4 linked regions of the Rhinolophus ferrumequinum genome follow. The protein of the gene in region 1 interacts with the protein of each later gene in a pairwise test. Links are inferred from orthologs where the notes say so. Each region holds a gene or a part of one and is shown on either strand. Other genes may lie near its edges. The genes, in order: ZMYND19, KCTD13, SAXO1 and TNFAIP1.

Region 1 (7,388 bases):
GCAAAACTGCCGTTCTCTGGAGCATTTTCTCAATTCCCTACGACTGGCAATTGTCATCACTTTGGCCCAAATAAGCCAGAGAGACCCTCTACAAGTGTGGACGTTCCTTATGCCGATGGGGCCATCTCCCCTCGACCTTGAAGCTCCCAGCTTTAACTCGTGTTCTGGGTAATGATCCACCAGCCTCCGCTGTCACTCCTCTCCACAGCCAGGTCAGCTCCTGACTCACTGTCACTCTGTCCAGTACCACTCTTGTTAGAATTCTTAGCAATTTCAGAATCCACATAGGTGACCCTTCCAACCTCCTGGCCTCTGTCTTAAAATGTACCCAGGATTAGTTTTAATCAGGTAAAGCGACAGACACAGAGACAGTTGCTTGCAAGTCTAGTACTTACAGTGCCACACCACATAGGGTCACGTGGGAAGTAGCAGCATGGCTCCGGAGGCAGTGGGGAGGGACAGCACGGCCCAGAGCCCATATTGTTTTCTGTGGGAAGGAACAGTGAGGCAGTGCAGGTGAGTTTGAGCCCTTAGGATGGGACAGTGTCAGCAACTTCAGTGGGCTCGGCTTGGGGCAGGCTCTACTTGTCCAGCACCTGTGATCAGATGATTAGGATGATTAGGAAATCCTGGCCCGGTGTGCGAGTTAGATGAAGGAGGTGGCTGGTGTGGGCTCTGCATTGGTTGGTTTGCTTGTGGAGGCGTGTTTGCTGTCTCTAGGAATTAGCTAGCCTGGGAGAGGCAGGCTGTCCCCAGCAGCAAGAGTCCCCAGATGTCAAAGTGAATACAGAAAATGAAAGCCATGACCAATACAGCTCTCATTACGCCGACTCCCCTCCTCCAAGAACCTTCTCCAGCTGACAGCACCTGATGGCATTGTCGGTTGGTCTACAAAGATGTCTGCCAACCACTTCTCCCACCCCTTTACTTAAGTTCACGCTGTTCCTGCCATCAGAAGGTGGGTTCCATTCCTTCCCATTGAACTTTAACTGGCAGTACTGGGATGGAAGAGATGCCATGCCAGTTGCAGGTTCTTGGGAGCCCCAAGATGCCACGAAAAATGTCTGGTTAACCTGCTGGAGAGATCGCACAGGGAGAGATAGAGTGCCCGGGCACGTGAGTGACACCAGCTCAGACTTCCTGCCTCAATTACCCCCCAGTGACTGGCTGTGCCAGTGCCATGGCCGTGTTAGCTATCGACTACTGCAGCACAAACCACCCCAGTTTCTTATTCGTTCTGAAAATAGGCCCCCGAGGAGGAAGGTGGGTGTAGTGACCAGTCCTCAGGCCTGAGCTGTGAAGTCCCATAACTTTCTACCACATTAAATGCATCAAAACAGTCACAGGCCCAGTGCAGGTGGAGCATCACAAACATACAGACAGAGCAGGAACTGGTGCTGACGACAGGAGACAACTGGCCTCACCAGCCAACAGCACAACCAACCAGTTGAGCCCAATCGAGATTCCAGAACCACGAGCACCTGAATAGTTGTTTTAAGCCAGTAAGTTTGGGGTGGTTAGTTACGCAGCAACAGGTAACTGGAATGGATATTGGTCCTTAGAAGTGACACATTGCCACTACAAAATTCCAAAGTGTGCCATTGACTTTGGAACCCAGCAGCAGGTGCACACACCTGCAGGGCAGTGAGGGCATTGCTGATGGAGGCTGGAGACAGCGTGAGCCGGGATGGATATTGACAGAAAAATGGCAAGACCGCTGCTTGTGGTAATGTGGAAGACAGAAAGTGAATCTAATGATTTTCCTGGCAGCGGCTTAAAGGGCCAGTTGGCTTCTTTCCACACAAGAAGGCAAACCAAAGGGAGGGGAGTGTTCTCAAAAACATTTGCGGTGCAGCTTTTGTCTAATGGAGTAGGTTATAATTTGATACATAGAAAGTCCACAGTTGTATTTTTAATTTTTTTTAATTGGGGAATATTGGGGGAACAGTGTGTTTCTCCAGGCCCATCAGCTCCAAGTCATTGTCCTTCAGTCTAGTTGTGGAGGGCGCAGCTCAGTCCCAAGTCCAGTCGCCGCTTTCAATCTTTAGTTGCAGGGGGCGCAGCCCACCATCCCATGTGAGAATTGAACCAGCAACCTTGTTGTTAAGAGCTTGCGCTCTAAATAACTGAACTATCCAGCCGACCCTCCAGCAGCTCAGATGCAGCTTGTTGTCTTCAATCTAGTTGGGGAGGGCGCAGCTCACTGGCCCATGTGGGAATCGAACTGGCAAACCTGCTGCTAAGAACTCGTGCTCCAACCAACTGAAACATCCGGCCACCCCCAAATCCACAGGTTTTTAAAAAGGGTTGTATTCTGCTTGAATTCAAATGGACAGACTTTGAAATAAATGAGGGCTTTGGGCCCCTGACTTTCTACAGGCAAATGGCTGGCTGAGGAAGCTACCCAGCAGCAAATATGGGCTACTTCCTATGGAAAAGGGAGGATGACAGAGGTGCAGGGCCAAGGTCCTGGAAAAGCCAAGAACTGCTGAAAACAGTAGACTAGGAGAGCTCTTACAGGGAGCAGACAATCCATGCTAAAGGAACATCGGGACAGATGCCTGGCTGCATTTCAAATTGCTATGGACCAGTGACTCCACAGTGCACTCCTCCTTTTTCAAGGGGATGTCTAGCTCTTGTCCTATGGAATGGAATGTTGGGTGTTGGGGTACAGACAACAGGCCTCTGCAGCAAAAGGAGCCACACTCAACGTGCCTTGCCCACACCGGGCCGTTTTGTGCATCATAAAACAATGGACCCCAAGCCCAGTACCTTGATGAGACAGTAATTCTGGAGGTCTTAGGAGGCCCTGAGTGCAATCTTGCTGTGACAGGGGCCGCAGGGCAGACTGGGGCAGGCTGTGCCACTGGTGCCCACGCCCCCACCAGTGAACCACACTTCCCAGAACTTGTGCTCTGCTGCACAGCCCTCCTACACTGGCTCTGGGCTTGCCTGCATGAATCGCTTTGTCCAGTGGGGTACTAGAAAGCATAATTCCATCAGAGGCCCAATAAATGCTTGCCCAATGGGAAGCGCCCTCTATGCTGTAAGGAAGTGCAGGTGTCCTGCCTGGTCACGTGGGGAAACCCTGTACAGTGAGATACGACACAGAGAGGTTATATGGAAGAGAAGTGAGGTGCTCCAGTGAATTCCCGAGTGAGTGCAACCAAAGGAGGGACCCAGCTGCCTGCCCCCTCTGTCTCCTTAGCCAGAGTGATGCATTGGAAAACTACTCTGTTCAAACCCTCCAATGGCGTCACTTGTTGGTTCACTCCCGGTTCACCCGTCTGGTCAAAATGGCCACCTTGATGTTTCAAACACGCCAGATGTGTTCCCAGTTGAGCCTTTGCCCTGACTCTTCCCTCTATGCCCACGTCTCGCGCCCTCTCCTCTCACTGGTTGTTCACGTTGACTAGTCAGCGAGGCCCTACTCTGCTCACCACCTTCACTGGGACCCCCGCCCCAACATTGATCCACTCCTTTCCCCACAGCGTTTATCACTTTCTAACACGGGCGTATAACTCACTTATCATAGGCCTTTTCTGCCTCCCTCCCTGGAAGATGAGCAAGGGGGTGGACATTTGCTATGTGCACTGGTGTGGAGGCGTTTCCGTGGGTAGTGGAGGGAGTGGACGCCAGCAGAGACGGGGGGGTAGGCAGAGGCCCCCCACCCCCAGACGTCAGGCCCTGGAGTTGCTGTTTAGGAAGGACCTGGACCAGGCTGGTCAGTGCCCTGGAAATCGCCCCGTCTCAGTAGAGGAGCTTGAGGCACAAGGAAGTTTGGTGTAGCCAGGGCCGGGGGGCGGGGCCCGTGGTCCCCACGCCGCCTCTGTGAGGAGACGGCGGGCGGCCGGGGAGGAAGGAGGGCGGTCAGGGGCCCTGCCAGCTAGCCGCATTCGGCTCGGGCCGGGCCGTCTTCGAAGTCCTGCAGGCACTGGCCACCCCAGACCCGACTCCACCGCGGCCCCGCAACTCCCGGGTGCCGTCCGTACACCGGGCCGCCTGCCGGCTGCCCGGCGGACGCCGGACCGCTTATGGGGAGCCGCAGCGAGTCCTGCCAGACGGTCCGGGGCGCGCAACCAGGCCCCTGGGCCGCGCGCAGTATCGGGGGTTGGTTGCCGGCGCGAGGCCGGGAGCTCGGAGCGCCGACGCCCGCACAAAGCTTCCCGCGAAACTGACGTAGCGCCAGGCGGCCGCGCAGGCGCCGCCCCCGGCCGCGCCCCTCCCCCGCGCTCGCCCCGCTCCTCAGCGCGCCGGCGCTCTCGCCCGCCTCCCATTGGCCGCGGCGTGGCGGCGCGCGCCGGCCGGTGCAGGGCGCGCCCCGCTATTGGCCATGCGGCGGCGGGCGGGGGTGTGTCCGTGCCGCGCCCCGCCCTCGCCTCCGCTCGCTGTGGTGCGCGCGGCGGCAGCGGCGGCGCGTGGCAGGTCCGGCGGGCGCGAGGCGGCGGCGGCCCGAGTCCGGCCCAGCCTCGTCCCGTCCGGCCGCCCGGACCCGACCCCGGCCCGCTCGCCCGGCTCGCCAGGCGCGCCGCGGCCCCGCCCCGGCTCGGCGCCTCCCGAGGGAGCGGCGCCGCCGGCCGAGCGCAGGCCTGGCCATGACAGACTTCAAATTGGGCATCGTGCGGCTCGGCCGGGTGGCCGGGAAGGTGAGCGGCGCAGGGCTGGGGGCCCGGGGCTGGACTGGCGGCGCAGGGTTTGGCGGTTGTGCGGGCGGCGGGCGGGCGGCCTGTCCCCGCGGTGGGCTGCCCTCCGGCCGCGGCCTGGGGCTCCGACGGTGCGCCGGGGAGGAGGGGGCTGTCGGCTGCACCTGCGGCGCGGAGAGCGCAGCGCCCCTGCGATGCGGCGCGCTCGCTCCTTGCCGAGGCCGGTGTGTGCGCGCCGCTCAGTGCCTTCGGGTCCTAGTGGAGCTTCGCGCAGGTTTCACGCTGCCAGCGGTGGCCACGTCTGGCCGAGCCTCAGTGGGCCTCGCCGGGGCAGGGCCTCCCTCCGCTTCTCTCCCGTACTCGGCCCCGCCCTCCGCGTGTTCGAGGCGGGGGCTTCCTAGCACCTGTGGTCATCGAGGCTTGGCTGTTTCCAGGAGCCGGCCGGCCGTGCAGCTGCACCAGCCGCGGACCTTACCCTGGATGGGAACCCTGTTCCCATCACAAGCGGCGGAAGCTTCTGGGGAGAGAGGAGCACAGGCAGTGAGATGAAGGTAAAACGGACTCAGATCCTAGAAGAAGCTTCCCAGGCGAGAGTGAGTGGTCCGGAGGCCGTTACCTGCCCGTCCTGCAGGCGGCGTGCGGCTTTCTAACTAGAAGGGTGGGCTCTCCGCAGTCCGAGGCTCCTGCTGACTTACCGACCGGTCGTGTTAATGTCCTCCTCGAAAGCTTTTGCTGGGGACAAAAAGCTAAAAAGGACAACTCAGTGAGCACCTGAGTCCCGAGTCCCGTTTAATCAGCAAGCACTGCAACCTTCTGGATATTCTGCCTCGGCCCGGGGCTCGTCTCTGCTCCAGCGACGCCGCCTGTTGGACTGGGTTTATTGGCACATCATTCAGACGCACAGCTTAGAGGCTGGCCGGCCAGTCCCGTGGCACCTCGAAGGCTTAGTCGGGTGCGGGTGGCAGCGAGGCCTGAAACCTGCTCCAGGGGTACCAGCGATTGGCACGTCCACCTGCGCAGCGGTCGGCTGCTCCGCCCCGTGACGGCCCCCTCTTAGGCTGATGGGCCGCCCCTGCCTGTTGCCAGTGCCTCCGCCAGATCCCCAAGGTAATGTTTCGAAATGTGGTTGCTTTCTAGACCAAGTACACGCTGATAGACGAGCAAGACATCCCGCTGGTGGAGGGCTACTCCTTTGAGGTAAGGGCCCCCTTCCCTCTGCAGGCCTGCTGTCCGTCAGTGCCCGGCAGGGCCGTGAGGGATGGTGCTCTTCCCTGAGATGTGAGGGCAGGACCTCGCATGAGGACACGGGTCTGTGCTGCCTGTGTCACGCAGGGCCTCCCTCACGTCCACCCTTCTTGCCAGCTCTTTCTGAAAAACAGAACAAATTGTCACGTTTGTGACTGGATGTTCAGTTGGACAGGCCCCGGCACCTTGGGAGACTGTCCCATGCCAACTTACCTTTTCTCTGGCCTTGGCCCCACTGTCTGTCCTGGTGCCCAGTGCTCCTTTCATCTTCTGAGTGCCCCACCTTGCTCTGTCTGTGTCACTCACTCCTTCCTTAGGGACACGCTCCAGGCATCTGTGGGCCAGCACCCCCATCTCTGCCCTTCACGTTTTCACAATGGTGTCTTGTGCAGGGGTTCATCTTGCTCCCGGGATTGTGGGCTTCTCGGAGGGGCGGGGATTTATGTCGCTGTGCCCACGTATTGTGCAGAGTGCTTCATGAGTGTCTTGCTTGAATTCATGAGGGTGAAGAGGGTGCTTGTTGGGGCACGCTGGCATATCCGTGCCGCGTGTCTTTGGGAGCTTCTGCACATTCCCAGGGCCCCAGGAACAGGCCTGGCATTTGTCCCTCTGTTTGTTCACGTCGCTCAGTGTTTCTAAGAGGTGTTTAAAATGTTGCCGAAAATCAGAGGCTTTCTAACAGATCTCTTCCCATTCCTCCTAGGCCAGGATGGAGGTCGACGCAGATGGAAATGGCGCCAAGATATTTGCATGTGCCTTTGACAAAAATCGAGGAAGGGGGTCAGGAAGGCTTCTTCACGAGTTGCTGTGGTGAGTATTTTTGAGCTATTGTTCCATCCCTGGGTCTTGCATGAGTCCTGATGTGTGTGGAGCCAGTGGAGCCACCTGCCCTTGTTTACAGATAGTGCTTTTGCATCGTTGCCACTAAGTGAGGAATGAGTGACTACACACTGTGGCACTGGCAGGGGAGCCTAAAGTTTTCAGCCACCAAGTGCCCTTTCTGCTCCGGTGTTCGTTCTGGGGTACACAGTGTCCTCTGGGGGAGCATGGGGCCTCGTCCCTCCTGGGCTCTTGCTGGGCCTGTTAGGGGGATGTGGGGAAAGGATGGCTTTCCTCGGTGTGCTCTGTGGGGTCCAAAACGCGGGGGGCCGTGCACATGGGGCATTTTCTAGGCCGTGTGTTAGATGGTTTGGGACTCCAGCCATGGCCTCTTGCAGCCTCGCTGACCTGCCAACGTGGTCTGTACGTTTGAGCCACAGACTGACACACGTGGAGTCCTCTGGGCAGCCTGCTCCTGCTGCGTCCCCTACACGGCCGTGTGAGGAGGGTCAGTTCAGACCACATGGCTAACAGGCTTGGGTAGGTCTGGGAGGTGGGGTTAGAGACCTGTCTGTCTGCCCCCAGGGAGCGGCACCGAGGGGGCATCGCCCCCGGCTTCCAGGTGGTACATCTGAATGCGGTGACGGTGGACAACCGCCTGGACAATCTGCAGCTGGTGCC
Region 2 (7,808 bases), on another chromosome or scaffold:
ATACATCAGAGTATATTTTGCTGAAAGTATCAGTTATAGTGAATATAAATATATGTGAATATAAAATGTGAATATATATGTGAATATAAAGTGTATTTTTTTCTATGGGCTGCAATCACAAAGTCTGAAAAACATGGATACAGCCCAAAGGAATTCTATGCTTTCGGATTTTGAAAATAAGTATTCCCCAAGATAATAGGAAATTGTTCATAGTTGTCACTTTTTAATATACAAAGGACATCAAAAGTGAAACTCTTACAATCTATTAATATTGTATCCTAAAAGAAAGAACTTTTAAATAGGACTGAACAAAAGGTTTTATGTAAAACCCACTGCATTGTACATATTTTTCTCGTTTCCTTATCTTTTGGAACATGAGGACAGAATGCTAGAGGTAGGAATTGACTGACTCAATGTCACTCAGTCAGCTGCGGTAGCAGTGACACTTAATGCACATATCCTGGCTGTGTTTTCCAAGTCTTCTCCTAAGAACCCGAAGCGATCCACAGAACAGAAGCCCAGCAGGTGGGGCTCTGGTACCAACAACCCTGTTTTATTGGGTTGTGCCACATTTTATTGCCAAAAAAAAAAAAATTTTTTTTTTTTTTAAGCCACTGGGGTGGGCACTGGGTGCTGCCTCCCAGGATAGAAACAGATCACAGAGGTCATTATGTTCCAATTTAAATTTAGATATTTTTGTTCCTAGTGGCATAAGAAAGTTACTTATGATTTCTGAGCAAGATTAAGCATAAGTCAGGTGGTAGTGTACCAGCTGGATTGGCTGGGTAGAAAGAGCAAGAAGCAGAGAGAGCAGCCATTTAACCATTGCAACAGTCTTGGCATGAGATGTTGAGAATGGTGCTGCCTGAGGCAGAAGGGATGCAGAGGGCAGCACCCCCAAATTCTCTGGGGTCCAGGGCTAGTCAAAGCCAGGCCAGAGGCAGCCTCTTCAGGCAGTACTCCATGTTTCCTTTTTTTCCACCCCAATATCCTAATATCTAACTATTTGGCAGCTCTCCCAGGGACATGGGCACACAGGGGTGGGACTCTGGAGGTTGGGGAGGGACCCTCACCTGCAGTGCCAGCTGGCAATCCTCAATCAGACCCTGTACCAGGTAGTAGCGTGCTTCCCCTAGCAGTTCCCCCAGCTCTCTGGTACTCTCAGGCAGTGGCACTGACCCATCCCGCAGGTAGTTGAGGATTGTGCCAAAGTGGCGGCCGCTCCTGTCAATCAGGACCCAACCTGGAGGAGTAGGGGAGAGGAAGGAGAAAGGATGGCTTTGCTGGGGGCCCTGGAGCTATGAAATTTTTATGAAAAAAGGATTCCAAAGCTACGAGTCTAAAAACTGATCTTTCTCAAACCTCGGCCTTATCCAAGAAAATCCCCTTTAAACATGTCCAGTGAGTGTTCCCATAGGCCCCTTTCTAACGTATCCAGCCAGAGAGAATTAGTTCCCTCCTAAGTCTATTCTACATTGAGAAGATTAGAAAGTTCTTACAGATTACCTTATCAATAAACCTCTACCTCTCGTGTGTAATTCTGACCATCCTATTTAATGAAAATGTCTACCTCACCTGCCAGTTCACTACCATTTTAACCTTTCTATTCTTCATAGAACTTATTACTATGTATCTGTAATTACATGTCTTTTTTTTTTTTTTTGTATGTTTACTTGCTTACTGTTCTCCTCTGCCCCCACAAAAAAGTAAACTTCATAAGGCTACTCTTCTGAGCTTCATTTACCAAACAAACTATCTCAAGCCCTAACGGGCAGTGTACACTTATTAAATAAATACATTCTTCACCTTCAGATTATCTGAAGACTGAGCTGCACCTCCCAAATGTTTATTTACCTGTTCTCACAATCCTTTTTAACCCCTCTGAACTCTCCCACACTTTACGGTTCCACTTGGGCACAGTGGGGCCGAAATCTGAATGCAACACTCCCAGAAGGTAAGGTTCGCCTGCCAGCGAGAACTGTCCACCCTCTCCGCGGGGGTGTCCCTGGCAAACTCAAAGAAAGCAGCCTCCTTCTTCTACAATCTGCATTTACAGATGGGTTGCTAGAGCGTGTTGGGGGAAACACAGACAGACCAGACACTCCGGCAACTCCAGGCTGGTTGTTAGCAGCGCTGAGGCAGGGAAGGGGGGATAAAAAGGCTGGGCGGTTGTCAGAAACTGATGCAGGTTGGTGGAAAGAGGGCTGCTGGCAGCAGGGCTGGTTCCCAAGTTTTCTGAGCCGAGAAGTGGGAGAATTGGGAGGGAGTGGTCAGGAAAATTCTGGGGTGACATGTTGAATCACTTACCACTTACCAGCGGCTGGCAGAACTGGGGGAGAGGGGGATGGTTCCATTAAGTGTCGGTTATTGCTGGGGGGTCAAGATTGGGGGAGAAAGGAGATTGTGAATGAGAAAGGGGAGGTTCGATGGGAAGTGGGGACTGGAGGTGAGAATGAGTTGTCTGCAGGGCAGTGAGACGAGCGCACACACACACTGGGCGATGAAAACCGGGGAGTCAGGGCGACGGCGCTCCGGAGGATGGAGGGAAGCACGAGTGGGGGCAGCACGCGTACCTCCGGCATCTGTGATCACCTCGGCTCGGCCGCTGAACATGGCGTTGAGCACGGAGTCCTGTCCCGTGAGCGTGCGCAGCGTGGTGTAGTGCAGCGAGCCGCCCACGTTCAGCTTCACATACTTGCTGTTGGGGGTCAGTGGCTTGAGGCCGTAGGCGGCTGGTCCAGGCTCGAGTTCCGAAGGCTTGGGGACTTCCAGGGACAGGGCCTGGGCCGCCGCCGGGCCCGAGGCCTCCGCCGACATGCCCGGGGGTGGTGGTGGTGGGGGCGGCGGCGGCGGCGGCCGGCGATCTGCAGCCCTCTCCGTGCCCGCCGGCAAAGACCCGGGGGCCCGAGCGCTGGGGCCAGATCACAGGACCCACACGCCCACACGTCGCCGCTACCCAGCGACACTGGCCGACAATGCCATCGCGCCGGCACCTCCCGGAAGCCGGGCCCAGCAACTGCGCAGGCGCGTCAAAGTCCCGCCCCCATCCGCGCGAGGCCGGCGTGCGGAGCATGCGCAGTGGCCTGGGGCTGGCGGAGGCGTCGCGGGGCGGCGGTCGGGAGAGGTGAGGCGCGCGCTCTCGTTCGCAGGACCGGGGCCGCCGGAGGGAAGCGCCCGGCCACCTGCCCGATGTGGACAGCGACGTCCCCGCCTCCTGGCTGGGTTTCGGCTCTCAAGGCGCTGAGCGGGCATGAAGGGGACACTGAGGCCCGTAGAGGGCACTGGGCGAGTTTCCCACCCGCCAACCCCGAGCACCTGGACCGACGGAGGAGCGCTGTGGACAGAGCGCCCGGGGACGCTCTCCAAGGAGGCTGCGAAAACGCACAACTCCAGCCGAGTCCGGGTAAAGCTCACGGGGGCTTTGCGCAACCGCACGTGAGTCGGGCGGCCGCATCCCATCCCGCGAACAGAAAGGCGCTGCTCAAGCGGTGGACGAGAAAACGTTTTAAAATCACAGGCCGAAAGCCAGCGGAAGAAAAGGGAAAGAAAGTCTTAGCAAAGAATGTGTGGCTTCAGGCAAGGTTGCCCTCCCCAGGGGTCTAGCAGGCGGGTTCTCCCAGGCGTGCCCACCGGCTCATTCCATGCCTTTTTTTTTTTTTTTTTAACATTTTGGGAACTCTGTTTTTATTTATTTATTTAATTTATTTATTAATTTGGGGAAGGGGAACAGGACTTTATTGGGGAACAGTGTGTACTTCCAGGATGTTTTTCCAAGTCAAGTTGTCCTTTTAATCTTAGTTGTGGAGGGCGCAGCTCAGCTCCAGGTCTAGTTGCCAGTTGTTAGTTGCAGGGGGCGCAGCCCACCATCCCTTGGGGGACTCGAGGAATCGAATTGGCAACCTTGTGGTTGAGAGGATGCGCTGCAGCCAACTGAGCCATCCGGGAGCTCAGCGGCAGCTCAGCTCAAGGTGCCGTGTTCAATCTTAGTTGCAGGGGGCGCAGCCCACCATCCCTTGTAGGAGTCGAACCGGCAACCTTGTGGTTGAGAGCCCACTGGCCCATGTGGGAATCCAACTGGCAGCCTTCGGAGTTAGGAGCAGGTGGCTCCAACCACCTGAGCCACTGGGCCAGCCCTCGTTTCTTTTTAAGAAGGCCAAAACGGAGTGGCCTCCGAGGGCAGATGGCAATAGTGCTAGGGCATGCAGGCTGTAAGTAAGGTCATCAAGGAGGGTCTCTCTGAGGAGGTGGCACTGAGCTGAAGCTGAGAAGAAGAGGCCACATAGAGGGGTGAGGGCAGACTTCCCGGCAGAGGGAAGGGCCAATACAAAAATGCCCAGGCAAGAACAGGCTTGGTGAATTGAAAGAGCAGAAAGGCGGCCAAGGGTGGCTGGAGCAGCTCAACAAAGGTCTTAACCTCCCGGCTAATGTGAGATACCCAACCTGGAAAGAAAGAAGAAACAAGATAGACACACTGTTGATGAGAAAGTGGGGTGCAACGTGTGATGTAACGCTCTGGCTCAGTGTCTGGCAGGGGGATTTGCTGGAGTGAAAAGCTGCACACGGAGCTGTGGAATGGTGGGGGAACGGTGGTGGTTGCTCATGTTTGTGGTTTGGACAATGTGTTCAGACGTGATTATGGAATAGGCGTTCTCTCAATCCGTTAGAGAGTGACTTGGTCGGATGTTGGAAATTGTTTCTGCTCAACAGGACAACCTCGGGTGTTACGAGTTCCCTGGCTGATCCTGGGCAAGTCACTTGTCTCTGGGCTTCCATGGTTCCTTTACTGCTTACTGAGGGGCATGAATTTAAATGCCCACAGGCGGCAGGTAGGAGTGTAAATGAGTGGGGTGGACCAGTTGTTAGATAAGCGGGGCCCTGGGGTGACCTGTGGAGAGCTCATGTTGTACCAAGAGGGGTTGCCAATTTTGATTTTTCAAGTGTAGTTGGTTAAAAAGAGAAGCCGCTCGTGGCCTCCTGGGAGTTGATCAGCCCTCTCCCTCTAGAAACCTTGGTGTCGCCAGCAGTCCACCTGGTACTTACAGCTAGGCTGCAGTGTTGTCCTGTCGAGCAGAAACAGTTTCCAACATCAAACAAAGTCACTCTGCTGCATTGAAAGACCATGCCACAACCATGTCTGCACACATTGTCCAAACCACGAAAATGACGAAACCCAACCCCCTCCCCGAGTCGGAATGACTGCTGCGTATTTATAATACCGAGTAGAGCTTTAGCCCTGATCCATGCCTCCTCCTGACTTCTAGGTAAGAATTATTAAGATAACCGAAAAGAATTATCCCCACCCCCTGACAGCAGCCAACCTGGAGAAAATCTCCCCTTTCTCAAACCCCCCTGGAGAATAACCTACCACAAGCCTAAATCCTGCACTGTCTTTCTAACACGTGCTTGCTGACATGCCCAAGATGGGTTCCCCATGGTCTATGCTCTACCTTGTTCAACCACAGATGTGTTCCTGGTGGCCTTTGGCTGGAGGGCCTTGTCTGAAATGGGGGATCCATGGAGATGAGCTGAAACCCTCACTGCTGGGACTCTCGTAATAACGGGTACATCTGAGACCGCCTTGTGTCTAACTGGGGTGCCGTCCTGCCCATGATTTGGAGGTAAGCCTGATGTTTTGTCGAGACCCTTAAGCATTGGAATTATTTTGTTTGTTTTCCTTGGAATAACGTTCTGGAGTTTTTGGTTGTCCAATTTCTCCTTGGTAAAATTGTTTTCTGGCCTTCCATACATGCTCCTATGGTCTATTCTCTTGTCTAGTGTGTTGAATGTGTTTGTCTGTAAGAGGAAGAGTCTAGAGGGGAAGGATGAGTGTGCAGCCACGGATATCTGAGGGCATCACAAACCTGTTACTGCTCAATCTCTAGTGGCTGAACGCTACTTCTCAATCTAAAAAGTTGGAAATGCCAAACCACTTGGCAGTCCTGTAACCAGGTAGCGTGCTGGTATCTCTTTTGTTAACAGAATTAACCAGGCAAATTTCTGTGTCAGCCAAGGCCCGATAAGTGTGTCCTACAACCAGCCCCAGAGACCGTGGAATTCAGAACATATCCTCAGACTTGTGTCCTTTGGATAAACTTTGCCTTGAGTCACCATTTCAAACCTTTATGAGGACTTCTTCCTGAGTTTTGTCTGTGTCCCTGAGAACTGTTTTGTTTTGTTTCTTCTGCCCCAAATCAGGACATTTCCTCTGGACCCTGATCAATGACAGTTAGCCTTTGGCCAAGTTCTGGAGATAGAGGTTTACGTGGCACCATCCTATGGATCCGTGTGCCAACTAAACCTGGGCCAAATACCTGCTTCCTTCATTTTTTATTACTATTACTGTAACTGGAACCCTTATCTCTCTAACTGACACCATTTTACTAGGGACCATTGTGTTGGCCATTTTGGGGAACTGTTGGCAAGAATAAGATTGTTTATTTGAGAGGTACCTCAGAACAAAAGGGGAAAAAACTTCATTGAGGAGATTGTCTTGTTTGTCAAAAAGAGAGATTATTTTAACATAGGCAATATTTCACTTCTGTACTTTGTAGATTAATAAATGCTGCTTTTTAATTGTATAACTGTATTAAATTGTCAAGTTATTTTTAAAATAAGCTGGAAGGCCACTCTGTGTGTGTGTGTGTGTGCGTGTATATGCCAAAATCTGTTTTTCTACGTTTAAATGGTCTTCCCTTTGCTTGCAGAGGGAACACTGATTAGCTTTTTAGAGTGTAGTTTCATAATTCTCTGAAGTAGCGCCCCCTCATGGTTTTTGCTGTCCGTTTCCCTCTCTTGGCAAACTGTAAAGATTAACTATCGAAACCGATTCTATTGTATGTGCACACTCTAGGAATAACCAGTCCACTTAAACAGTTAAAAATGTCTTAAAGAATTAGTCAACTATGTATGTTTCCTTTGGGGGCACTGAAAAGTGTATTTGTGTCATAGGCTTTGTTATTATAGTTACAACATAAGAAAAGGCCTTAGTTCCAAGATAAAAGAAGAGCTTTTTAAATTTGCCATGAAATGTCTTTAAATTTGCCATGAAAAGTAATGCCAGAACAATATTTTGGTCTGTAAAGATTGGGGTTAATTTTCAAATGATTTAAACTTTTAAAAACCTTTAAAATTTTTATATTGATCTTATAAGTTAAGTAAGTTATCGTGTATTTCGTATATTCATCCCCAGATCTTACTTATAATTGGAAATTTACACACACACACACACACACACACACACACACTGGGAGTGCCAAAAAAAATGATACACACATTTTAAGAGATGTTAAAATGTGTGTATCATTTTTTTTGGCACCCTCTGTGTGTATTTGTGTGTGTGTGTGTGTATGTTTATATATAACTGAAAGTTTGTACCACCTTCACCCATTTCCCCCAAAGACCACTCCCCCCATCTCTGGCAACCACCTATCTGTTCTCTGTCTTTGAGTTCAGTTATTTTAGATTCTACATATAAGTGATATCATCTGGCATTTGTCTTTCTCTGTTTGACTTATTTTACTTAGCGTAATGCCCTCAAGGTCCATCCATGTTGTCACAAATGGCAGGATTTCTTCCTCTTTTGTGGCTTCTATATGTGTATATATCACATTTTCTTCATTGATTCATCAGTTTATTTCCATGCCTTGGCTATTGTAAATAATACTGCAGTGAACATGAGGGTGGATATCTCTTTGAGATAGAGATTTCGTTTCCTTCAGGCAGTGGAATTTCTGGATCATATGGTAGTTTTATTTTTACTTTTTTGAGGAACCTCCATACTGTTTTCCAAGGTGGCTGCACCAGTTGAC
Region 3 (7,080 bases), about 63 Mb from region 1:
CAGAAGCCTCTGGTTGGCATACTCAGAGGACAGCTTCTCTACATTTCCTGATAGGGAATAATTTTGTACACATATATGGACCAGACTCTCTGCGGAATTTATGAGGTTCAGGAAAGATGGTTGGTAAAATCTTGATTTCTGTTCATTTATTTCAATAAAAGTTCAATGGAACTCTGAAAAAAGAAAAACAAAAAACCAAAAAAACTCCTCCTGATAGGGACATAGTGTTGTCCTTGGTCTATAAACACTAGTGCCCAGCATGGCAGTCATAGAGCTGAAAAATGATGAAACTGAGGTACAGAAGAGAGAAAAGATGATCTCTGATTATTTCCCCCCTTAGTTCTCTTTGTGGGGAAGGAAATAAAAGAGAGGAGAGAAGTATCTCTGCTCTTTTTCCTTCCTATGGGTAACCTTGATCCCACCACTTTTTCTTTTTAAAACCCCTATGGTCATTAACAACTTGTTTTGGAAATTCTTTCCGCTTCTGCATTCCTCCACTTTGGCCACATCTTGACATGAATGATATTGTTACTCTGGCTCCGGCAGGGACAGAGGGACCTTCTGGGTGATATGTTTATTATTGTAAGTGACATGAGGCAAGAATAATTTAGGACAGGTCAGAGGGGAAGTTTGTGATTTGCAAAGCACCATTGGAAGGCAGAGGTGGGAGGGCACGTGTGGGGCTCCTTCTGGGGGGCTCAGAGCCAGGCGATGGAGCAGGGCTGCTGCCCCAGAGAGAGGGCTTATCCTCGTTCTCCTAAGCATGGGAGCAACAAACAAAAAGCATTCCCCAACACCCAATCCTCAAACACGCTTTTCTGTATTTCCAGGACAGGAAATAGATCCCTAGTATAACATTTGAAACTGTACCTTACTTTATATTCACAAGGCATTCTTCATTTCCTGCAAATTGGGTATAAAGAGATGAGAAGACCAACATCTAGAGACTGCATGTGATGTTGCAAGCCATTTCTCAACACAGCTCTTATCCTTTTGTACCAATTACATGTCTCTTAGGCATATGCCAAGGACTTTTCATCAGTGTTGACCAGGGTTTCTTAAAAGGAAAAGCAATGCTCTGGAAGGGTCTACATCTCTTGTTGTGTTCTTTGGGCTCTTAGAAACTAAGAATGCTTTTTTCTTGGTAAAACGAAGCCCAACCATTAAGGTTCATGTTGTTCAATAAATCATAGGTTGGAAAAAAGTTTGCGTAAATTACAATTTTTTCATGAGTCAGGACCCAGAAAGCTTGTGCTTAAACCAAATCATTTAAGAGAACTGCTTAGCATAAAAGTGACCTGAGGGCCAGCCCAATGGCTCAGGTGATTGGAGCTCCGTGCTCCTAACTCCAAAGGCTGCCAGTTCGATTCCCACATGGGCCAGTGGGCTCTCAACCACAAGGTTGCCAGTTCAACTCCTCTACTCCCGCAAGGGATGGTGGGCAGCGCCCCCTGCAACTAAGATTGAACACGGCACCTTGAGCTGAGCTGCCACTGAGCTCCCAGATGGCTCAGTTGGTTGGAGCACGTCCTCTCAACCACAAAGTTGCTGTTCAACTCCTGCAAGGGATGGTGGGCTGCGCCTCCTGCAATTAACAACGGCAACTGGACCTGGAGCTGAGCTGCGCCCTCCACAACTAAGACTGAAAGGACAACAACTTGACTTGGAAAAAGTCCTGGAAATACACACTGTTCCCCAATAAAGTCCTATACCCCTTCCCCAATAAAATCTTTAAAAAAAAAAAAAAGTGACCTGATTCAAGTCAAGCATCAGACAAGGCCCTCAACTCTCTCCCATTTTCAAGTTGCCCCATCCAATGGCTCCCACCAAGCTCAGAAATCCCTTGACTTCATTTCTCCCCTCTTGTGTCTTTTCTGCCCCATAGCCCAGACATGGACTTCTTCCTTTGGATCTAGGAGATAGCAGCTTTTTACAGGAACACTTCAGGCCTCCAACCCACCATTTCAACACAGGATATTTCCAGGTTACCAGGGGGTAACTTGGGGGCAGAATGAATATTAGAGATGTTCTGCTTAGCCTGGGTCACCTGGGACCGTTAGTAGAAAAGCACAAAATTATGAGGCACAGAGGGAGCAACAGCAAGAAAACTGACCAGGTCTTGAGAACCTGTAGTGTGCAGGTACTATGCTGGAACAATTTCATCTCCACCTCACAGCAATCCTGCCCTGTAGGGATGAGGAATGTCAGAGGCAAAGATGTGTCAGGTCTCATCTGGGAACTAAACTCTATAATCTGAAACACTGCCCAACTGCACTCAAAGATGTTTCTACTGCACTGGGTCACCAGTCACAGGTCACCACCTGGTGATCACTGAGTTGTCAATGGCAGATTCTGTTGGAGTCTTGCAACATGTAGAACAATCCTCAAATTGATCATTTCCCCTGACCCCCTTAATACAGATACCTCTGCAAACCAAATATACTAAGCCAGAACTGGATCTAAAGAATCAGAGTTTATAAGGCAAGAGAAATTTATAAGGAAATGTTCTTTGTTCCCATTCTTGAAGGGGATCCCAATTCAAACTCTACAGCATAATTTCAAAACAACTCACTCTTTCTCTATGATCAAGTTCTCTTTCACCACTGCCAACGTCACGACCACCACTCCAGCTGATCTGGAGCTTAGGTGCCAAAGCCCAAACCTCCTTTTTCAACAGCAGCCCCCTTTCCATCCCTTCCTTACTTAACCGCCAACTCTTCTTATGTAGATCAGTTTAGCCCCGCCCCTCTCCCACTCCCCACCCACCACACAAAAAATCCTTTTCATTGAAAAGAGATTGTGAAAAACCAAACAGGTTGATAAATGCAAGATTTTCTTTCAGCGATATAGCAAATTAACATTAAGGCATTAATAGCATATGTTGATATTGCACATTATTACGTTAACACTGTACATTATTACTGTACATTATTCCATGAGTGTTATACGTTCATATATTCATACTATTGCCCTCACCTTGATGTGGTCAGGACTTCCATTGGGATGGACCCTTTCTGGTACTCCAGCTTGGGCTTGAAGGACTCTCTGGGCAGGTAAGAGTGATAGAGAGGGTAGTTCTCGGTGTATTCGGAGAGAAGACATGGTTTCTCTGTTTTATCGTAAATCTTCGTCGGGAGATATGGACAGTGATGCCGCCTATAAAAACACATGAGCTTGGGTTGGTTACCTTCTTGTGAAGAAGACATCCAGTTTGATAATGTTACTTCCTCAAAATGTGACCCACACTATAAAATCATGACTGTGGGCATTGAAAACAGGAATTTTACTCTTCCTTTTCTCTACCAAACTATGCGAAGTGGCCAGAATTGTTTACATGAGCTAGAACTGCTATTGGTTAATTGCCAAAATCCCTTGGATCATAGAATTACACACAAGCATGGCTGATGTTCAGCCGTTACACTTGCCATGCTGCTTGTTGAAACACTTCCCTCATAATGGGTAAATGGTTGTGGCCAACAAGCCCTCTGAGTGACAACCCAGCTGCCCCAGACCCTCTCCCTGAGGCCTCCCCAAGCCTCCCAATCACCCAGAAAATAAGGGCTTAATACATGACAGGGTGTTCCAAGGCCGTGCTCTAGGGCCAGGATGCTGTCTTCCCTCATTGGCTTCCGGGTCCGAACATCATCCTTGCACACAAGTGGCCTCATATAGCGGAACCACCTCAGTTCTGAGTATACTAAATGTCACTGACTACATGAAACCATTTGCACTTTGAAAGTCTGGCTCCTTTATTCTTTCAAGTCTTACCTCAATTGTTACCTCCTTAGAAAGACTTCTACTGATCATTTCAAACCTAAAATACACCCCATCACCCCTTCCCTCTCATAGTTCTCTTATCCCCGTGTATGCCTTTCTCATCACTCACTGTTATCTGTAATTTGTATGTTTGTCTATTGCCTGTCTCCTCTGTCAAGCTCAGGACCTTCTCTATCTTGTTCACTGCTATATCCCTAATACTTTATATCCTCCCTGGCACACAGTAGGCATTTGGCACACATTTATTGAACAAATAACTGAGCATATAAATGAGTGGTTAAATAAACTCTATGCCTCACTATACAGTAGGTGATAAATAATAATTTGCAGTTATAATTTATAGTGAGTTTTTCCATTTTATATGCACAGTAAAAAATGAACCTTATTATTCTACCTACTGCTAGACAAAGGGCAGCCATTTGAGCTCCAAAAACTAAGAAGTGTATCAATTATTTGTGTGCCCATATACAAAATCCTCACAAACAAGTTGGGGCAATTCTAGTCATCAGACACCAGTATACTGATAAAACTTCATTAATGATTTACAACTTAATTATATCAAGGAATGGCACAGGATTATTGCAAGTTTTTTTAATGCTGAACTGATTTGAATTACAGAAACTAAAATACACAGCACTCTGGGGCAGCACATAGGGGAGGAGAGAAAGAAAGGAGAGAAACAGACATACAGAGAACTCACCACTGCTCTAATCTAAACTATTTTCCAGGCAACAATTAGTACGTTGCTCCTGTTAGTAAGTTCAGCTCTCTACGTAAATGTTGCTGCCACCACTGTTATCACTGTACCCTCTTCAACTCTCCAACCCCCAGAGGAAATGATCGACACCTGTATTGTTCATATGAATAGAACTGCATATAAGCAAGTACTTTTACAGATATCCCAATTTATTTTCCTCTCATTTGTAGATTTGTGCCTTGAAAAAGTCTTAAGATGATATAAACTTGTCACATTTACTTTTCTTTTAGTTATTATAAAAAGGCTATTTATCGAGGGGGCCAGCCCAGTGGCTCAGGCTGTTGGAGCTCCGTGCTCCTAACTCCGAAGGCTGCCGGTTCCATTCCCACATGGGCCAGTGGGCTCTCAACCACAAGGTTGCCGGCTCAAAAGGGATGGTGGGCAGCGCCCCCTGCAACTAAGATTGAACACGGCACCTTGAGCTGAGCTGCCGCTGAGCTCCCGGATGGCTCAGTTGGTTGGAGCGCGTCCTCTCAACCACAAGGTTGCCGGTTCGATTCCCGCAAGGGATGGTGGGCTGCACCCCCTGCAACTAACAACTGCAACTGGACCTGGAGCTGAGCTGTGCCCTCCACAACTAAGACTGAAAGGACAACAACTTGAAGCTGAACGGCACCCTCCACAACTAAGATTGAAAGGACAGCAACTTGACTTGGAAAAAAGTCCTGGAAGTACACATTGTTCCCCAATAAAGTCCTGTTCCTCTTCCCCAGTAAAGTCTTTCAAAAAAAGGGGGGGGGCTATTGATTCATGGTGAATATTTTAAATTTCCCTAATTACGTACAAGGAAATCTTCCACAAATATTCTGTCCTTGTACTATGAATATCTGAATTTTACAGTATTAAATACACTCAGTGACAGTTTAGTTTTCCTTTTTCAAAATACACATTGTTGGCATTTAATATATAAAGATGAATATGTATTTATATTTTATATATATTTAATAAAGTATGTCCTAATCATAGGTACATGACTTGAGTGCTTTAATCTTCTGTCCACTCAAGATAAATTGTTGTGTTTCATGGTAAACAAAATAACCATCCCCTACAGTTTAAAAACATTAGCCATTATTACCATTTCCGGGCTCATGATCAGTCCAATTATCTGAGATTTCAATCTGAGCCAATTAGTACCCTATTATTTTAGTATTCCTACAAAACTCAAATCAAAAGCCAAGAAGTGTTGGTAACAAAAATATATACCACAGATATATTTTATTCACCCACACTCTTTGAGAGAGAAGTAAAGATTTTTATCAAGGATAACTTAGATTCAGTCACTTGCAACAAAATGGACTCCACAGACATAGCAATATTTGCTCTCTTCCAGTGCCCTTGTTTTTTTAAACCAGTAAGACTTTGCTTTTTATCTAACCCCCTTTCCATATTGTTCCTTCTTAAAACTGAAACATACTACAAAGTCTTATTTAAAAAAAAAAGATAAATTTAATGGCAAAATACTGCACTGTTATTGCTATCATAAGAGGGGATTTTAGTATACAACACACTTGCATCCAGAGATTGGCGTTCTATTATATCTAATATATATTTATATCTAATATATATTTATAGGGCAGGTTTTCTTTATTTGACTTGTTGCCAATTAACTAGAATCTTGTCTCACTCTGAAATACCAAAGTTCTTATTTGAAAGTAAATGTTTCATTGTCTGAGTTTGCTCATGGGGTAACCTCCTTTCCTTACCTGTACCCAAACACCCTGAATATCCCTCTCAAGTCACCAAGCACCATAGATTCTCCTTGTTGGTCTTTACCCATGAGTTCCTCAAAGATAAAGACCAAGTCTGACATCTCTGTGTTCTGGAAGCTAGCCCAGTGCCTGGTACACTTATTTAATAGATGGATGGACAGTTGGACCGTGTATAAAAGGATTATCTACTGAAAGAAAGATATTTACAAAGAAAACGAATTGTTCTAACATTAGTAGAGCGAAAAGGGAAAAAACAGATTCTCAGTTTTTATGGATCTAGATCATGTCTGAAGAAAGTTTATGGAATCCCCATGCTTGGGGTATTTAAAAGTAGTCTTGAGAGTCATGAGCCAAAGAAATGAGACCTCTTCGAGATCTCTGATACTTGTATCATTTTAGGGGGTGTCTTGGTCCCCTTGATCAAGAGCACACCCAAACAATCCTATGTGGGGCCAATGGGCAGTGAAGAGAAAAGGGAGGGAGAAGGTGCTTTCACCTGTCAGAACTCTCTTTCCACTCCAGGATTTATTTAAGGGCCAGAAGTAAAAGGAAATAATGCTGACTTTTTCTGATATATGGTAAGGAAGTAGTAGAGAACTTACAATGGAATCCAAAAAAAGTAAAACAAAAGTTGACTCCAAGGTAGAATCATAGAATTTTACAGTTTGTAAGGAGAACAGCATCTGTGGAAATCCATGACTTGTCTTGCCTCTAGCACGGTCCTTTGGGATCCCATCCTGAGCCTAGCCTGACGGGGACACTGAAGAGGGCTCTCCTTCACTCCAGGAGACAGACTACGGAAGCAAGAAGGTTTGATTTCCAATCCTAGCTCTGCCA
Region 4 (6,842 bases), on another chromosome or scaffold:
CCTACTGGGAGTCTAGCCAGCCTAGGAGTTTCCCAGGAGCCCGAGCGACAGGATGTACTTCCCTTCTAAAGATTCCAGGCTCAGGAGCAGCCTGCACTAGTACCACCCGGAGTCTGGCTTCAGGAAGGCAAGTAAAGCAGCTTCAGGAGAGCATGGAATGAGTCAGGCTGGAGGGAACACCGCGGTCAGTGTTCTTGGCAGAGGTGGCTGAAGCCAGGGTTTCCTGACCTTCCCCTTTCTTGGCACCAGCCCGGTCCCAAGTTCCTGAAATTGTCACCATTTTTCAGGATAGAACAACTACAGGATGGCTATTTTTGCTTCTTTTCCTGAAAGGGGCCCAGCCCTATCTCTTCCTCTCTTCCTTCCCAACAAGACTAGGGAGAAAGGGCTAGAAAAAACCAGATGATAAATCTAAAAACAATGAAGTGACTTAGAAGTTCATGGAAGGGAGGAGCAAGGAAAGCAAAGGAAGGCAAAGTCAGGTCACCTCTTGTGATTTAGATTCTATATTATATGTTTTGGTTTTTTAGAGAATCACTAAAATTCATTCGCTGAAGAAAAAGTAATAGCAAACATTCACTGCATGTTGACTACGTTCCAGGTACTATTCTAGGCATTTAATATTTATTAGCTCATTACTTCACTCAGCAATAAAACAACAGTGAGTGCCTACTATGTTACGCAGTGCCTTCAAGGCGTTCAAAGAAGCATCATAATGGTAACAAAAATAAAAATAATAAGAGTTAGCATTTACTGTGCCTGTGCTATGTGCCAGGCACTGGGGATACAGAAGAGAACAAACAAGGCATGGCCTCATGGAGCTTACATTCTAGTTGGCAGATATAGACAAAAAATGAATAAGCAGGTAAACCAAAAGCGAGAAATGCAATGAAGGTAATAAAACAGTGATAAGAAAGTGACTAGCGAGAGGCACTAATCTAGACAGGGCTCCAGGGAAAGCGTCTTTGGGAACGTGATATTCCAGCTGAGGTCTGAAGGAGTATTTTAGACACATGGACGGGTAGGTGCCAAGTTCCTCAGTTAGACACACATTTTAGGAACAAAAATCACGCCAAGATAGCTGGTGCATAGAAAGGGGAAAGTTGGCTTGAGGTAAAGGGAAGGCAGAGGCCGAAATCATATTAAAGAGTCTGGATTTTATACCAATTGCAATGGGAATCGATTGGAGACCTGGTTGGTTTTTTTTTTTTTTTTTTAATAATTTTCTTTTGTTCTAAACTTTTATTTAAGTGTGTTTTTCCAGGACCCATCATCAGCTCCAACTCAAGCAGTTGTATCAATCTAGGTGTGGAGGGCGCAGCTCACAATGGCCCATGCGGGGATCGAACTGGCTACCCTGGTGTTGTTACGAGCTTCGAGCTCTAACCAACTGAGCTAAGCGGCTGCCCCGATTGGAGTTTTAAGGAGGGGAGTGATATGACCTGAGTTATTTCTATTTTGAAAAGCTCACTCTGGCTGCTGTGCTGCGGAGAATGGATTTAAGGGTTCGAGAGAGCAAGTGGGAAGACCAAAGGAAGCAGTAGTTTAGGCAAGAAATGGTGAAGGCTTGGACTACACTGACGATAACCGAGACAGAAAAAAGTGAAATTACTTCATTTAACCATCACAACATGCAGAAATTTACAGTTGCCAAGATCTCTTATAAGGGCAACCCAAAAGCAGTGCACTGGTTTTCCCAAGTTTATTGCTCCATTCTCCAAAGTGCTTAGCACCATGCCATACACATTTTAAAGTATTTAATATATGTCGGTTTGTTATACTGAAATTGTCCCTGAAAAGATTTAGGTAGGTCCCTGGGAAGAACGTCCAAGGAAGGGCCAGAGCAGATGCTGTGTGAAGTACTGAATTCCTTTGACTCATTAGCCTCAAGGATGGAATGAACCCTCACCAGAAGATTGCCCAATCAATAAGTAACACTAGCATGAGATCACCTTACCTTCTTCAGCCCACTCCATAGGAATAAATCCAGCCTTTAACAGGTTTTAACAAGTCCCTACGTATTTTGTATCTAGCCCCAATTTCCCCAGGATCAAAGAAAGCACACGTACATATTCTGCCAAAGCAAAGGAACTCAAAGGCTAGTTGGTTGCCAACAGAGGAAGACAAATCCAGAGCTAATCTATTCCTTTCCTACAAAGCAATTACTATGAGCCCTTGGATGACGTCAGCTCAGATTCTGCCCAGACCAATGAGTTCCAGGAATTCTTTGGCAGGTGACGCCCCAGAAAGTAATTCCAGTGAGAATGAAGTTTCCACTGGTAGCCTCAGTGCTCTTCCTTCCGGACTTCGATGTGGCTATTTGGGGATGCCTGAAGCTACGGGCGTATCTGTGTCTCACTCAGCGAAGCTAAGGGGAACCCAAGTAGAATAAAGGGCAAACAACCACGACTGTGGAAGGAGGTGGCATCCTAAAGGAAGACCCAGAAGTTCGTCACACACAGGGGAAACGGGGAGCGGGAAGAGAGCCGATCTCGGTTAGGCACAATGGATCTAGATGAAATCCTAGGTGTAAAAATCTTAGGTTTCATCCAAAGGGTCTGGAGAAATTTAGGGAAGCCCGACCTCTCTGTGGCCAGTGTACAGTCTCTCCCAGCCCGTCCTCCTCCTTACTGGCGAGAAAACGAGGCCGGTTCTGACACACCCTCAGTAGGGGATTTAAGCTCTCCCTCTCCCCTACACCGTCTCTCGCCTTTTCCCCAGGTCCAGGTGGGGTTCTCTTTGCTCCAGCCCAGGGCCCATCCATCCCTTCCCCCAGGGTATCGGCAAACCCGGTTCTCACCGTCCCTGGGGGCGCCTCTCCTCTCAGCTTGGTTGCAAGCCGAAACCGTGCCGCCCCTAGGCTGTGGCCCCAGCCTGCCAGCAATCCCGGGCTGTGCACTCACACCCTCCGACCGCGGACTCCGCCTTGAGTTACCGCCCAGCCGGGCCAGCCTACGATCCTGAGATTATAAGGCCAAGCAAGCCCAGCACCCAATCAGGGCAGAGGGAAGAGCCCCTGAGAGGATTCCGTGGTAAACGCACAGCTACTTCCGGCAGCCTTTCCGGTGCAAAGGCCTCTGGACCCTGTAGGCAGCCGACTTTCTTCTTGGGCCTCTGTTTCCCAGCAGGCTCTGCGGGTTAATCGAGTGTAAGTGCTTCCGGTGTCAGGTAGTGACGTGATGTGTAAACAGGTCCTGTAGCCGTGGCAGCGGCTGAGGCGGGCGAGCTAGGTACGGCTGCCGCGGACCGGGGAGAGAAGCTGCCAGCCGACATCAGCCTGCGCCGCAGCGCGCCGCCACTACGGGGTCGGAAGGTAGGCCGTGACCCTGGGTCGGGGGACGCGGGCGGAATCGGGGCGAGATGACAGGCCCGCGCGCGCTAAGGAAAGGCTGTCCCAGGGGTTTTACACACAGCTTGGGCCTGGAGCTTTGCCCGTTGATACTCGCAACAATCTTATGAGGAAATTGCGGCTCAGATAAGTTCAAGAAGTTTACATAGTGAAGACAGCCAGCTCCACCACCCAGATCTAACTTTCTTCCCAGTGCCCTTTCCTCACACTCCATAGACGGAGCCTGCTGGTAGTGCCTAGCGTGGATCGGGGGCGTCAGGGGCGGAGAGAGTGTAAACGCCTCCGGGGAGCTCGGTCTGGCTTTTGTGCCCGGTGTTTCTCAGATGCTCAGACGCGCGTGGGGTGGGAGTTGGAAGAGAATCTGATAGTCAGCTGTGAACCTTCTCTGGTCTTACCCATCTCATTCGGCTATTCCCTCTAGCTATGCAGTTGTCTCAAACCAGAAATGGGACTCTTGTCAGACTCTCCTTCACGCATCCTCAAACCCCTACATTCAGTCATTCCTTGACTGAATTCTAACAACTCCACTTACAAAGCATCTCAAATTGGAACACTTTTCTTTGGCTCTAAGCCTTGGTTACTGTAATAGCCGCCTCTGTTTTCAGCCATTCATTCCACAAACAATTGTTGAGTGCCAATTATGTGCAGGCCCCATGCTAGATGCTAGGGTTAGAGTGATGGACAAGGGAGGTGTGGCCCCACCCTCTTGTTCCCTCTAATCCACTCCATTCTGAGTCCGACTGATCTCTCTAAAAGGCAGGTCTGATTATGTCACTCTGTTGAGAACCCACTGGCTGCCCTTTACCCTTCTGATACAATCCAAACTCATTACTGTGACTTTCAGAGCCCTCTATGACAGCGCTAGCCTCTCCATCTGGCCTCATTCTGTTCCATGCTCCCCCTTGCTCACTGTTTCAGCCACACTAGCCTTTCAGTGCTTGGAATGTGTTAAATTTCTTACAGCCGCAGGATCTTCACACATGCTTTTCCTTCTGCCTGGAATGCCTCCTCCCCAGTTCACTTAAAAAACGTTTAGACATTCTTGAAGTCTCAGATTGTCACTTTTTCAGAAGGCTTTTGTTGACACCCCGCCCCCATGAGAATTATGTTCTCCTGCTGCCCCTTCACCCGGTACCAGTGCTTTTCCTCGTACTATTAGCACAATTGGTGATTATTTGTTTACTATCTGTCCAGAGGTCAGGAACTAAAAGCATTGAAACCCTTTCTTCACCACTCTGTCTTCAGAGCTGGGACTCAGTAGGTGTTTCTGAATAAACGCATGTTCTCAGGAAAGGGAGTAGAAGTGGAAGCAGGTGTGTGTTTGCTCTCTTGGGTTACTGAAGCTTTCTAGAGCAGTTGGTCTGATTAGTCATCCAGGAGGTGTTAAATCAGGGGTGTCCAAACTACCGCCCTCAAAACTGCCGCCGCGATCCATTTTTAATTGGCCCGCAGCAAATTCCAAAAATATACCAGAATATGGCCCGCTCAGGAAACCGGGCGGTATTGCATTTCTTGGTTTTAACTCTAGGTGGAGCTACTGAGTTGATCAAGGCAGTTCCTCTACAAAACAAAATTAAGGAAAGAAAAATTTTGCCACAGCGCACTGAAAATGACAACACCAAAGAAACGCAAGATAGCAAGTGAGTGTAGAAAATTTCAGACACGGTGGGAAAATGAATACTTCTTTATGGAAGTCAAGGGGAAGTGTGTGTGTTTGATTTGTAGTGAGAGTGTCGCAGTGATGAAGGAGTACAATGTAAGATGACACTACGAAACCAAACATCAGACCTACATGTCCTACACTGGTGTGGAACGAGAACAGAAGGTTAAGCAGATTTCAACTATCTTGCTAGCTCAACAACAGTATTTTTCCTGTGCCAAAAAAACTCAAGAAAATGCCACAATAGCCAGCTATGAGGTGGCTCAACTCATTGCCCAGCATGGGAAGGCTTTTTCAGATGGTGAATTTATAAAACAGTGCCTCACTAAAGTCGCAGGAATAATGTGCCTAGAAAAAAGTCAAGAATTTGACAGCATTAGCCTATCAAGAAACACAGTTGTGCAGCGAATCGAAGACTTGTCAGCCAACATAAAACATTAACTGTCAGACAAAGCGTGTGCTTTTGATTTCTACTCCATGGCATGTGATGAGAGCACAGACGCCACAGATACCGCACAGTTATTAATTTTTTTGCGGGGAGTTGACAATAACTTTTGCATTACGGAGGAGCTGCTTGATCTCCGCAGTCTAAATACCACAACAACGGGTAAAGACACTTTTGAAGCTGTGTCAAATGCAATTGACAAGATAGGACTTAAATGGGACAAGTTGTGTGGAGTTACAACGGATGGAGCTCCAGCTATGACAGGCGAGCTCAAAGGAATGGCCTCTATGGTGTGCGCCGAGGTGCAGGAGAGCGGAGGTGGGGCAGGTAAAATGCACTGTATCATCTGTGCCAAGACAGCGACGTGATGAACACTGTTGTGAAAACGGTAAACAGAATTCGAGTACGAGCACTCTACCACAGGGAATTTCAAACTTTCTTACCTGACGTTGATGCTGAATATGGGGACCTGCTCTACTATTCAGAAGTGCCTGGCTAAGTCAAGTCGCGGCTCCGTGCTTCAGCGGTTTTATTCTCTGAGATCTGAGATCAGAGATCCACCAGTTTTTGAAACAAAAGGACCGACCTCTTCACGAGCTGAGTGACCCCCTATGGTTGGCAGACCTGGCATTTTTAGTTGATCTCACTGAACACCTCAACACACTCAACAAAAGCCTACAAGGCAAAGAAGACCAACTCGTACCGCAGCTTCACGCACACATGAAAGCGTTCTGTGCGAAGCTCCGACTGTTTGAGGCACAGTTGCTCACCTTCAATGTTGCGCACTTCCCCAACTGTCCGAAATCAGATCTGCGTTTCCAAAGGCTGATCTCTGATAAAAAGGGGAATATGTGTCTGTGATCACACCTCTCATGACAGAATTTTCTCAGCGCTTCCAAGATTTTTCTACCATTGAGAACGATATCAAGCTGTCCGCGACTCCCTTCATGATCAATGCAGAAGTGGAAGATAGTCTGCAATTAGAACTTATAGAAATGCAGTGTGATGCTTCTCTGAAGAATCAACATCAGCTTCTCTCCTTACCTGACTTCTACCGGAGCTTGGAAGAAGCCAAGTTTCCTCTGATGAGACGCCACGCAAAAAGAATGATGAGTCTGATTGGCTCAACATACATATGTGAACAAACATTTTCTGTGATGAGATTGAGAACCAAAGCGACCAACGACCATCTCTGTGACGTCCTTCGCATCTCAACCACAAAACTGACTCTGGACCTGCCAGCAATCCTGCAGGCCAAAGCGCAACTTCATTTTTCCCACTGAGCGCAACCGTGTTCCCCTGAGTTCAAAATATATTACAAGTTCCATGTGTTATTAAGCCCTGTTACTTAATAAATGTAATCATTTTATGTTGATAGCATTTTTAAA

Evidence for each region.
Region 2: the proteins of ZMYND19 (region 1) and KCTD13 interact in binary tests that used the Homo sapiens proteins (3 or more experiments, as listed by UniProt). The two-hybrid records come from large-scale screens. The link is inferred for Rhinolophus ferrumequinum from reciprocal best matches to the Homo sapiens genes ZMYND19 and KCTD13.
Region 3: the proteins of ZMYND19 (region 1) and SAXO1 interact in binary tests that used the Homo sapiens proteins (3 or more experiments, as listed by UniProt). The two-hybrid records come from large-scale screens. The link is inferred for Rhinolophus ferrumequinum from reciprocal best matches to the Homo sapiens genes ZMYND19 and SAXO1.
Region 4: the proteins of ZMYND19 (region 1) and TNFAIP1 interact in binary tests that used the Homo sapiens proteins (3 or more experiments, as listed by UniProt). The two-hybrid records come from large-scale screens. The link is inferred for Rhinolophus ferrumequinum from reciprocal best matches to the Homo sapiens genes ZMYND19 and TNFAIP1.

What each region holds. Positions count from the first base shown.
Region 1 is NC_046295.1:83,566,140-83,573,527, reverse strand, and holds the start of ZMYND19 (zinc finger MYND domain-containing protein 19), read left to right. Parts: upstream 1-4,385; 5' UTR 4,386-4,595; coding exon 4,596-4,646; intron 4,647-4,829; exon of another isoform or gene 4,830-5,188; coding exon of another isoform or gene 5,189-5,194; intron 5,195-5,780; coding exon 5,781-5,840; intron 5,841-6,591; coding exon 6,592-6,698; intron 6,699-7,292; coding exon 7,293-7,388. UniProt on the Homo sapiens protein: May be involved as a regulatory molecule in GPR24/MCH-R1 signaling.
Region 2 is NW_022680357.1:925,401-933,208, forward strand, and holds the start of KCTD13 (BTB/POZ domain-containing adapter for CUL3-mediated RhoA degradation protein 1), read right to left. Parts: upstream 3,019-7,808; 5' UTR 2,818-3,018; coding exon 2,574-2,817; intron 1,244-2,573; coding exon 1,074-1,243; intron 1-1,073. UniProt on the Homo sapiens protein: Substrate-specific adapter of a BCR (BTB-CUL3-RBX1) E3 ubiquitin-protein ligase complex required for synaptic transmission.
Region 3 is NC_046295.1:20,399,559-20,406,638, reverse strand, and holds the start of SAXO1 (stabilizer of axonemal microtubules 1), read right to left. Parts: upstream 3,015-7,080; 5' UTR 3,000-3,014; coding exon 2,977-2,999; intron 1-2,976. UniProt on the Homo sapiens protein: May play a role in the regulation of cilium length. Stabilizes microtubules at low temperature.
Region 4 is NC_046304.1:19,042,682-19,049,523, forward strand, and holds the start of TNFAIP1 (BTB/POZ domain-containing adapter for CUL3-mediated RhoA degradation protein 2), read right to left. Parts: upstream 3,006-6,842; 5' UTR 2,801-3,005; intron 1-2,800. UniProt on the Homo sapiens protein: Substrate-specific adapter of a BCR (BTB-CUL3-RBX1) E3 ubiquitin-protein ligase complex involved in regulation of cytoskeleton structure.